Linked DNA regions of Caenorhabditis elegans. The protein of the gene in region 2 interacts with the protein of the main gene of each other region in a biochemical or structural test. Each region holds a gene or a part of one and is shown on either strand. Other genes may lie near its edges.

Region 1 (3,752 bases), 6.7 Mb from region 2:
AAAGAATTTATCTGATTTAAAAGACACGGTTCTTGGAGAGGTCAGTTGGTCTAAAATCTATTTTCAAATTATAATATTGGTGAAACCTGAATTCAAAACTTTTTTCATCTTTTAAAATTTTGCAAATATCATTTCTAAACTCCAATATGTTTTAGATTGAACTTTGTTAAAATTTTGGTAAATTACCACAACTTCAGCTTTTCAAAAAATAATTCGAAAAATTTCGCTGGTATTCAGTTTTGAACCAGTTGAGCTTGAAAAAACACTAGCTGAAATGAAATAGTTGTCGCAGATTAAATGTTTAACTTGTAAGGTAGCTGGTAACATTCCACCAGAAGATAAGGATGGGCTCTATTATTTTATTATCACCTTGTTTGTTATGTCCACATTTGCATCAACTATTTTGACTGGAGTTTTCTTGGCTCTTTCTGTGATCCTTTGGAGCCATTTCAAAAAAGTAATGAAACACGTTTTACATAACTTTTTCCAAGGAATTTATTGAAAAAATTCAGATGATATTTTTCTGGTTTTTAACTCAACTGACCATTTCTGTTTTCATAATGTCTTCTTTAAACTTTTTAATTAATGTACCAGCGACATTATTTGCTTTGATAACCAAGGAATTCGTTCAATCCGGTAACTTTTTTTGAATCAATTTTGAATCATTTTTTTTGTTCAGCCTCATTCTACTACATGTCCAATGTAATCGATTTCTGTCATAATGCAATACTTTTCTCAAACTTGATAATTGCAATACATCGGATGTTTGTGTTCTTTTTCAAAAAACACACGGATATTGCTTTTGAAAAGTAGGGAATTCTGAAATTTTTGGAATTTTAATCTACTAATCCCAGACCGATAACATACTTTTGGATGGGAATGGTATGGGTATTGTCTGCTTTTGTTGTAGTGTCTATGATTATGAATAACTGCCAATATGAATATGATGAACGAATTTTAATGAAACATTATGTTTTGAGTTGTGAAACTAGTAGTGGAATTAAAAATATTGCTCCACCGACAATTGTACAAACTGTAAGCACAATAATGAAAATATCCAGTCCAATAAACACTTTCAGATTGAAATTTTAATACAATTTATTCTTCCAATATTTATTCTGGGAATATATATTGCAATTATCATTAAAATAATTTTAATGAAAAAAGCAGCACTCAACAAATACGAGCTCACTATTTTGAAACAGGCGGTTTTTATATTTTGCCTATTTCAGGTCCTGTTTGATTTAAGAACGAAAAAATGAAAAAAAAAATTTCCAGATTTCATCGTCGGTTTTCCTATTATGCCAAACTATCAAGTTTGAAATAGCAACTGCATTTTTGATAAAACGGATTATTAATACGGTTCGTTTTTTTTTTAATTTTTCCATAGCAATCTTGAAAAATTATCCGTATTGCAGACTGAAATATGCGCTGGAGCTGCAACGCCGTGCTTCTTCTTTTTCACTTCAAAAGAAATTCGGAAACTCGTTTCTGTGAGAGTTTCTCTCACTACTTCACAAGCCAATTCAAACTCACAGCAGAGAAGGCAAACTTCGAGAGCGATTTAATTTTTATTACTAAAATCAGTTTCTAAAATGTTTTTGCCAATATTAGAATAAATACTCGTGTTTTAATGAGAACAAACTCTTCGCAAAAAATTTCTGTGCCTGCCAAATCATATTTACTGCTACAGTAACTTTCAAAGGTGCAATACGTCAGCGGTGAGGGTCTCGACGCGATCTTGAGAATTGCCGCAATCAGTGCGGGGCTGCTTGAATTCGAGGTTTCGATTTTCTGGTTTTTTTTTTCATTTTTCGAATTCAGTTCGGATATTTTTTGTTTTAAGACAAATATAAAGCATTTAAAAAGTTTATGCTTTGTAAAGTGCAGTTAAACTTCAATTAATTCATAATTATTTTAATTGAAACAACTTTCTCGCTCTTGAAAATATTGCATTGTTTCTTAATTTCCAAATTACAATTCCGCACAGGCTTTTTTCATTCAATTTCTTTCTAAACTTCCAGATCTACTCGGTATGGCGTTGCGACACACCATCTCACCGCAGTTTTCGAATCGCCACAGTCCTCCAGTTACCCGTTCTGTATCTCGAACAGGAGTTCATCAGCCGCTAGACACATCTACTCCAGTTACTCGGCGAGATTCCCAACCTGGAACGATTACAGGCACCATTCAGAGATTTCATGAGTCGGCTGACGATTCTGAAATTGATCTGAACTCTTCGAAATTTATTTACAAGGAGCATTTTAGCTACAAAGAAATCACTTCGATGAAGAAGGAAATGTGGTATGACTGGCTGGAATATCGCATTCGCATGGTTCGGCGTCGTTTTGTTCCAACGTGGGCCCAGTTTAAACGTACTCTTATGGCTGTTGTTCTTTTTGCTATGTTATACAAGTGTGAGTCGGGAAAACGTGTTGTGGGTATCTAAATGAATAATTTCAGATGCTCGTGATTGTTTATTCGATGGAACGCATCATAATTCAGAAGGATCCTACGCGGATAAAGACGCGAATTGGGCGTCCGAAAAACAGAAATTTCATCAGACGGTACAATGAATGAACAGTCAGAATAAATTTTTATATTATTTAGATTTCCAATCTCCGAGCAGAGTTTTCGGCGCACGATAAACAACTCGATTTCAAAACTGACCATTTGGAAAAACTACTGGAAAACGTTTTGGAACACAGCAAAGGATGGAAAGAGTCGGCAATCGAAGAGCTCAAACAGATCAAATTATGGCAAGCAGAAATTAGCGATGCTTTGCAACAAATGAAAAAGGAAATCGATGATGCGGTAATTTTCAAATTTAATATATTTTCCCAATGCTAATTTTTCAGAAAAGCACAAAGATCATCCACAGTACACCAGAAAAGGCTCCAGAGACCGCACCAACTGCATCGCTTCCTCCCTCTAGCCAGCTTCAACCAATGCACATAACACGCCGAGCACTTCTTGGAGTGAATGTTGCCAACAGTCTTATTGGTGCATCAATCGATCATTCTTGTTCATCACGTCCAGTTTCTGCAAAAGATGGATTTTTCTACGATTTCATGTCATACTTCGGAACGTTCCAGGAGGGATATGCTTTGCTTGATCGCGACGTTCTATCCCCAGGAGAAGCGTGGTGCACATACGATAAACGTGCGACCTTGACCGTGAAGCTCGCTAGATTTGTCATACCGAAAAGTGTCTCGTATCAACATGTCAGATGGAGCGGGATTGTTCCAAATCATGCCCCGAAGCTCTACGATGTCGTGGTAAGCTATATAAAAATTGTGTTCAGTAACTAATTATATATTTTCAGGCATGCACGGACTCATGTTGCACCAAATGGCAGCCTCTTGTCGCCAACTGTGAATATAAGGAACGTGATGGAAGTTATGACGAGCAAGAACAATTCTGTTCGGTGCCAACAATTCAAAATCACTCACCGATCAATCACGTGCAATTCCGTTTCCGCGAAAATCATGGAGATATGCCAAAGACATGTGCTTATTTGATTCGTGTTTACGGGGAACCAGTCGATCCACCAAAGGAAACGCAACCAATGACGGATAATGGAACTGAATCAAAGTTGGAATCTGCAATTGTTAACTCTGTATCAGAAACCGCATAGAAACGCCGTATTATTGTTCCTGCCCAACTTGTTTTTATATCATTTTCACGTTCCCCACTGACTATGAATCTCAATATTGCTTCTTTGAAATCGTTTGCAAATGTTTTGTCCCGCT
Region 2 (3,752 bases):
GAAATATGGCAGCGGAAGGAGCACACAACGGATTTTGTAGTAAATATCGGTTAGGTCAATGTCCAGTTCTTCGCTGAAAATGGAAAAAATTTGAAAAATTTTTTTTTTTTTGGAAAAATAAAAAAAAAAAAAAATTCGAATTCCCCATGCAATTTCACCCCGAAAACCAATTTTTCAGAAGTTTAGTGCAAAATTCCGTCAAATCAGGTGCCAAGTCCGCAAACACCGTGCTACAGTAACCCAACACACCAGATTTGACGCAAAAATGCACTAAATCGCTGAAAATAGGGGTGTAGGAGTAATTTTGGCTGGGAAAACCGAAAATCGACTTAAATTTCGATTAATTTGAAGTTTAAACTCAGTTTTTGAACTTTTTTCGAAATTTTTTGAAAAATATCGAATTTTCCCAGTTTTAGATCAAAATTTACGGTTTTAAACTAGAAAATTTGAATTTCCCATTCAATTTCACCCCCTGACCTCAAATTTCAGCTCATTAGTGCAATTTCCCGTCAAATCAGGTGTCAAGTCCGCAAACACCACGCTACAGTAACCCAAGACACCAGAATTGACGCGAAATTGCACTAAATCTCTGAAAAATGAGGCTTAGGGGTTTTTTGGCACGGAGAATCTGAAAATCGACTCGAAAATTGAAAAATTCAGAGTTGAAGTCTAGTTTTTTTCAAATTTTCAGAAAAATCTCGAATTTTCCTAGTTTTAGGTCGAAATTTGCGGTTTAAAACTAAAAAATTGGAATTCCCCATGCAATTTCACCCCCTAGCCCCAATTTTCAGCGTTTTAGTGCAAAATTCCGTCAAATCAGGTGTCAAGTCCGCAAACACCACGCTACAGTAACCCAAAACACCAGATTTGACGCAAAATTGCACTAAAACGCTGAAAAATGGGGCTTGGGGGTAGATTTCCGCGGGAAAGTTGAATTTTTAGGTTTTAAACTTGAAAAATTAACGGAAAACCAAAAAAAGTTAGGATTTTTGCAATTTTTCGGGAATTTTGTCGAAAAAAGGGGGTTTTGCCCATTTTTCTTCAAATTTTTCGACTTCTTCTCCGTTTTCTTTCGAATTTCTTCGATTGTAGCCAATTTTCCATCATTTTTGGCGCTTACAGCAGTGGAATCTGGTCACTGTCCTCCTCATTGACCTCCAGAAGCCACCCAAATCCACTATTCTCCATAAATTTTCCAGCGGCTCCAGCATTAGTACGACGATAAGCCTGAGCTGAAATTTGTCCAGTCGGGCTTGAAATTGAGCCGGAATCTGCAAAAAAAAATCGATTTTTTACGGAAATTTCTAGTTTTTTGGCCTAAAAATTCAGATTTTTCGTACTTGGCGCGTTAGATGACTGGTCCGGGTGCTCAAATTGCTCGAAATTCGACGAGTAAAAGCCATTTAAGTCGATAGAGACCTCCGGTTGCTTGACTCCAGTGCCCGGGTAGTCCATTTTCACCAAATTCTGAAAAAAAAACGGGGGTTTTAGGTGGTTTTCAGCGATTTTTTCGAGAAAAATATGAAGAAAATTCAAATTTTCGACAAATTTCATGCAAAAAATCCATTTTAAACAGGTTTTTACGTTAAAAACGTTTTAAAACCCGGAAAAACTGAATAAAATCCAAAAATTCATTGAAAAATTACGGTAGTTCTTAAAGGCGCAGTACTCGTTATCGATGGGTCTCGCCGCGATTTTAATGTTTTTTTGTGATTTTTTAATTTTTACTCAATTTTTGCAAGCTTTGGTTGTTTTTTTCACGATTTTCAAAAAACTTTACAAAAAATTTGAAAAAAAAATCGACTTTCCTATTGATTTTGAGTCTAAAACCAATGAAAAAGTCAATAAATTCGTTAAAAAAACTACGGTAGTTTTTAAAGGCGCAGTACTCGTTATCGATGGGTTTCGCCGCGTCTCGCCGCGATTTTCGTATTTTCGTATTTTATTTAGGATTTAGTTGTTTTTAATCGAATTTTCGCGCAATTTTCTTCGTTTTTTTCGCAATTTTCTCCATTTTTTCGCAATTTTCTCCATTTTTTCAGCGATTTCCATGGTTCGCGGGACAAAAAGACGTCGGAGCTCGGCGGAAAAGTAAAAAATCACCAAAATTTGCCCCAAAAATCGCAAAAAATTCAATTTTTTAGGCCAATCGTGGTGGTTCCGGTCACCCGAGACGACACGATGCCCGTCGACGAGGATCTTGTCGTCGGAGAATCACAGTGTGCTGCTTCAAAACCCTTCGCGAAGCTTGTCGGCGTCCGCCGAGGCATTTCTTCCATCGGTTTGTCGATTTTCCCGCAATTTTCACGAAATTCCGGCTAAAAATCGATTTTCCAGACTTGGCAGACGATCATTTCGTGTGCGGACGCGGCTCGGATGATGCTCCGACGAATTTCAACTTTTCTCAAGTCGCCAAAGACGTCGGGCTCTACAGATTTATCTCGAAAATTCAATTTTCCATTGATAGAGTAGTTTTCTACTGAAAAATCGCCAAAAAAATCAATATTTCAGGACACAGAAACGCGTAGAATCTATCTACACGATCACTCACGCAACGGGACCCTCGTAAATCAGGAAATGATCGGAAAAGGGCTGTCCAGAGAGCTAATGAACGGAGATTTGATCTCTATTGGGATTCCAGCGCTGATCAGTGCGTTTTTGACGATTTTAAAGCTTTAGGGTAAAATTGCCCAAAAAAACGGGTTTTTCCGCCAAAATCCGTCGATTTTTCCCAAAAAAACCCCGAAAATTTGCAGTTTTCGTGTACGAAAGCGCCGACGCCGACCATCATCCGGAGGAACTGACGAAAAAATACCACGTGACGAGCCATTCGCTGGGAAAAGGCGGTTTTGGCAAAGTTTTGCTCGGATACAAGAAATCCGATCGATCAGTGGTACGGGCGGCGTGGGAAAATGCCGAAAATTGGAGAAAAATCGATAAATTTCCAGAAAAATCGATAAAATCTCCGAAAATTGTGAATTTTCGCCAGTTTTGGTGCATATTCAGCCATTTTTTTTGCTGATTTTCACCTAAAAACCGCCAAAATTTACCGGAAACTTGTGAAAATTCAAATTTTCCTCTGAAAAATGCGATTTTTAACTGGAAAAACACATTTATCGATGAAAATTTGCCGAAAACCTTGAAATTTTCACGGAAAATCGATAAAAACCCTCAATTTTTGTGGGAAAAATCGATTTTCAGCCATTTTTTCCCGGAAAAATCATCAATTTTTCATGTTTCAGGTGGCTATTAAACAGCTCAACACACAATTTTCGACAAGATGCAGCCGAGCAATCGCTAAAACTCGAGATATTCGAAATGAGGTTGAAGTTATGAAGAAGCTCAGCCATGTTAGTAATACACGAAAATTGCTGAAAAATCGATTTTTACACGGAAAATTGCTGAAAAATCGAAATTTTCCGCATTTTTCGCTGAAAATTCACGAAATTCGATCAAAAAAGCATAATTTTAAGCGAAAATTGAAGTAATTTTGGTCAAAAATGCTCAAAAATGAGAATTTTCCAGTTTTTGGGCGCTGCTAACACTACAAACTACACATTTTTGGGCGCTCCTAATTCAATTTCAATGGTTTTTGGCCTATTTTCGAGCCATTTTTCACTAAAATTATCGATAAAAAGTGATTTTTCGCGTTAAAAATGCTCAAAAATGCCATTTTAACCCTAAAAATTCTAATTTTTCAGCCAAATATCGTTGCAATTTACGATTGGATCACCGTCGCCAAGTACTCATAT

What was found. Proteins that work in one complex are often made in the same cells at the same time.
Region 1: of the proteins of chk-2 (region 2) and sun-1, one has a biochemical effect on the other in vitro, tested with the Caenorhabditis elegans proteins (one study listed by BioGRID).

Annotation. Positions count from the first base shown.
Region 1 is NC_003283.11:13,191,811-13,195,562, reverse strand, and holds the start of sun-1 (Sun domain-containing protein 1), read left to right. Parts: upstream 1-2,024; 5' UTR 2,025-2,035; coding exon 2,036-2,417; intron 2,418-2,463; coding exon 2,464-2,567; intron 2,568-2,610; coding exon 2,611-2,814; intron 2,815-2,858; coding exon 2,859-3,278; intron 3,279-3,325; coding exon 3,326-3,637; 3' UTR 3,638-3,752. Other genes in the region: F57B1.1 (G-protein coupled receptors family 1 profile domain-containing protein), read left to right, coding at 1-40, 314-457, 513-636, 680-809, 855-1,035, 1,080-1,232, 1,279-1,362, 1,419-1,568. UniProt on the Caenorhabditis elegans protein: Involved in centrosome attachment to the nucleus. Required for zyg-12 localization to the nuclear envelope. Together with pot-1, it is required to anchor telomeres to the nuclear envelope in embryos.
Region 2 is NC_003283.11:19,914,272-19,918,023, reverse strand, and holds the start of chk-2 (Serine/threonine-protein kinase chk-2), read left to right. Parts: upstream 1-2,000; 5' UTR 2,001-2,050; coding exon 2,051-2,091; intron 2,092-2,144; coding exon 2,145-2,281; intron 2,282-2,337; coding exon 2,338-2,468; intron 2,469-2,511; coding exon 2,512-2,650; intron 2,651-2,756; coding exon 2,757-2,893; intron 2,894-3,242; coding exon 3,243-3,350; intron 3,351-3,701; coding exon 3,702-3,752. Other genes in the region: Y60A3A.19 (Protein YIPF), read right to left, coding at 1-73, 1,121-1,271, 1,341-1,455. UniProt on the Caenorhabditis elegans protein: Serine/threonine-protein kinase which is required for checkpoint-mediated cell cycle arrest, activation of DNA repair and apoptosis in response to the presence of DNA double-strand breaks.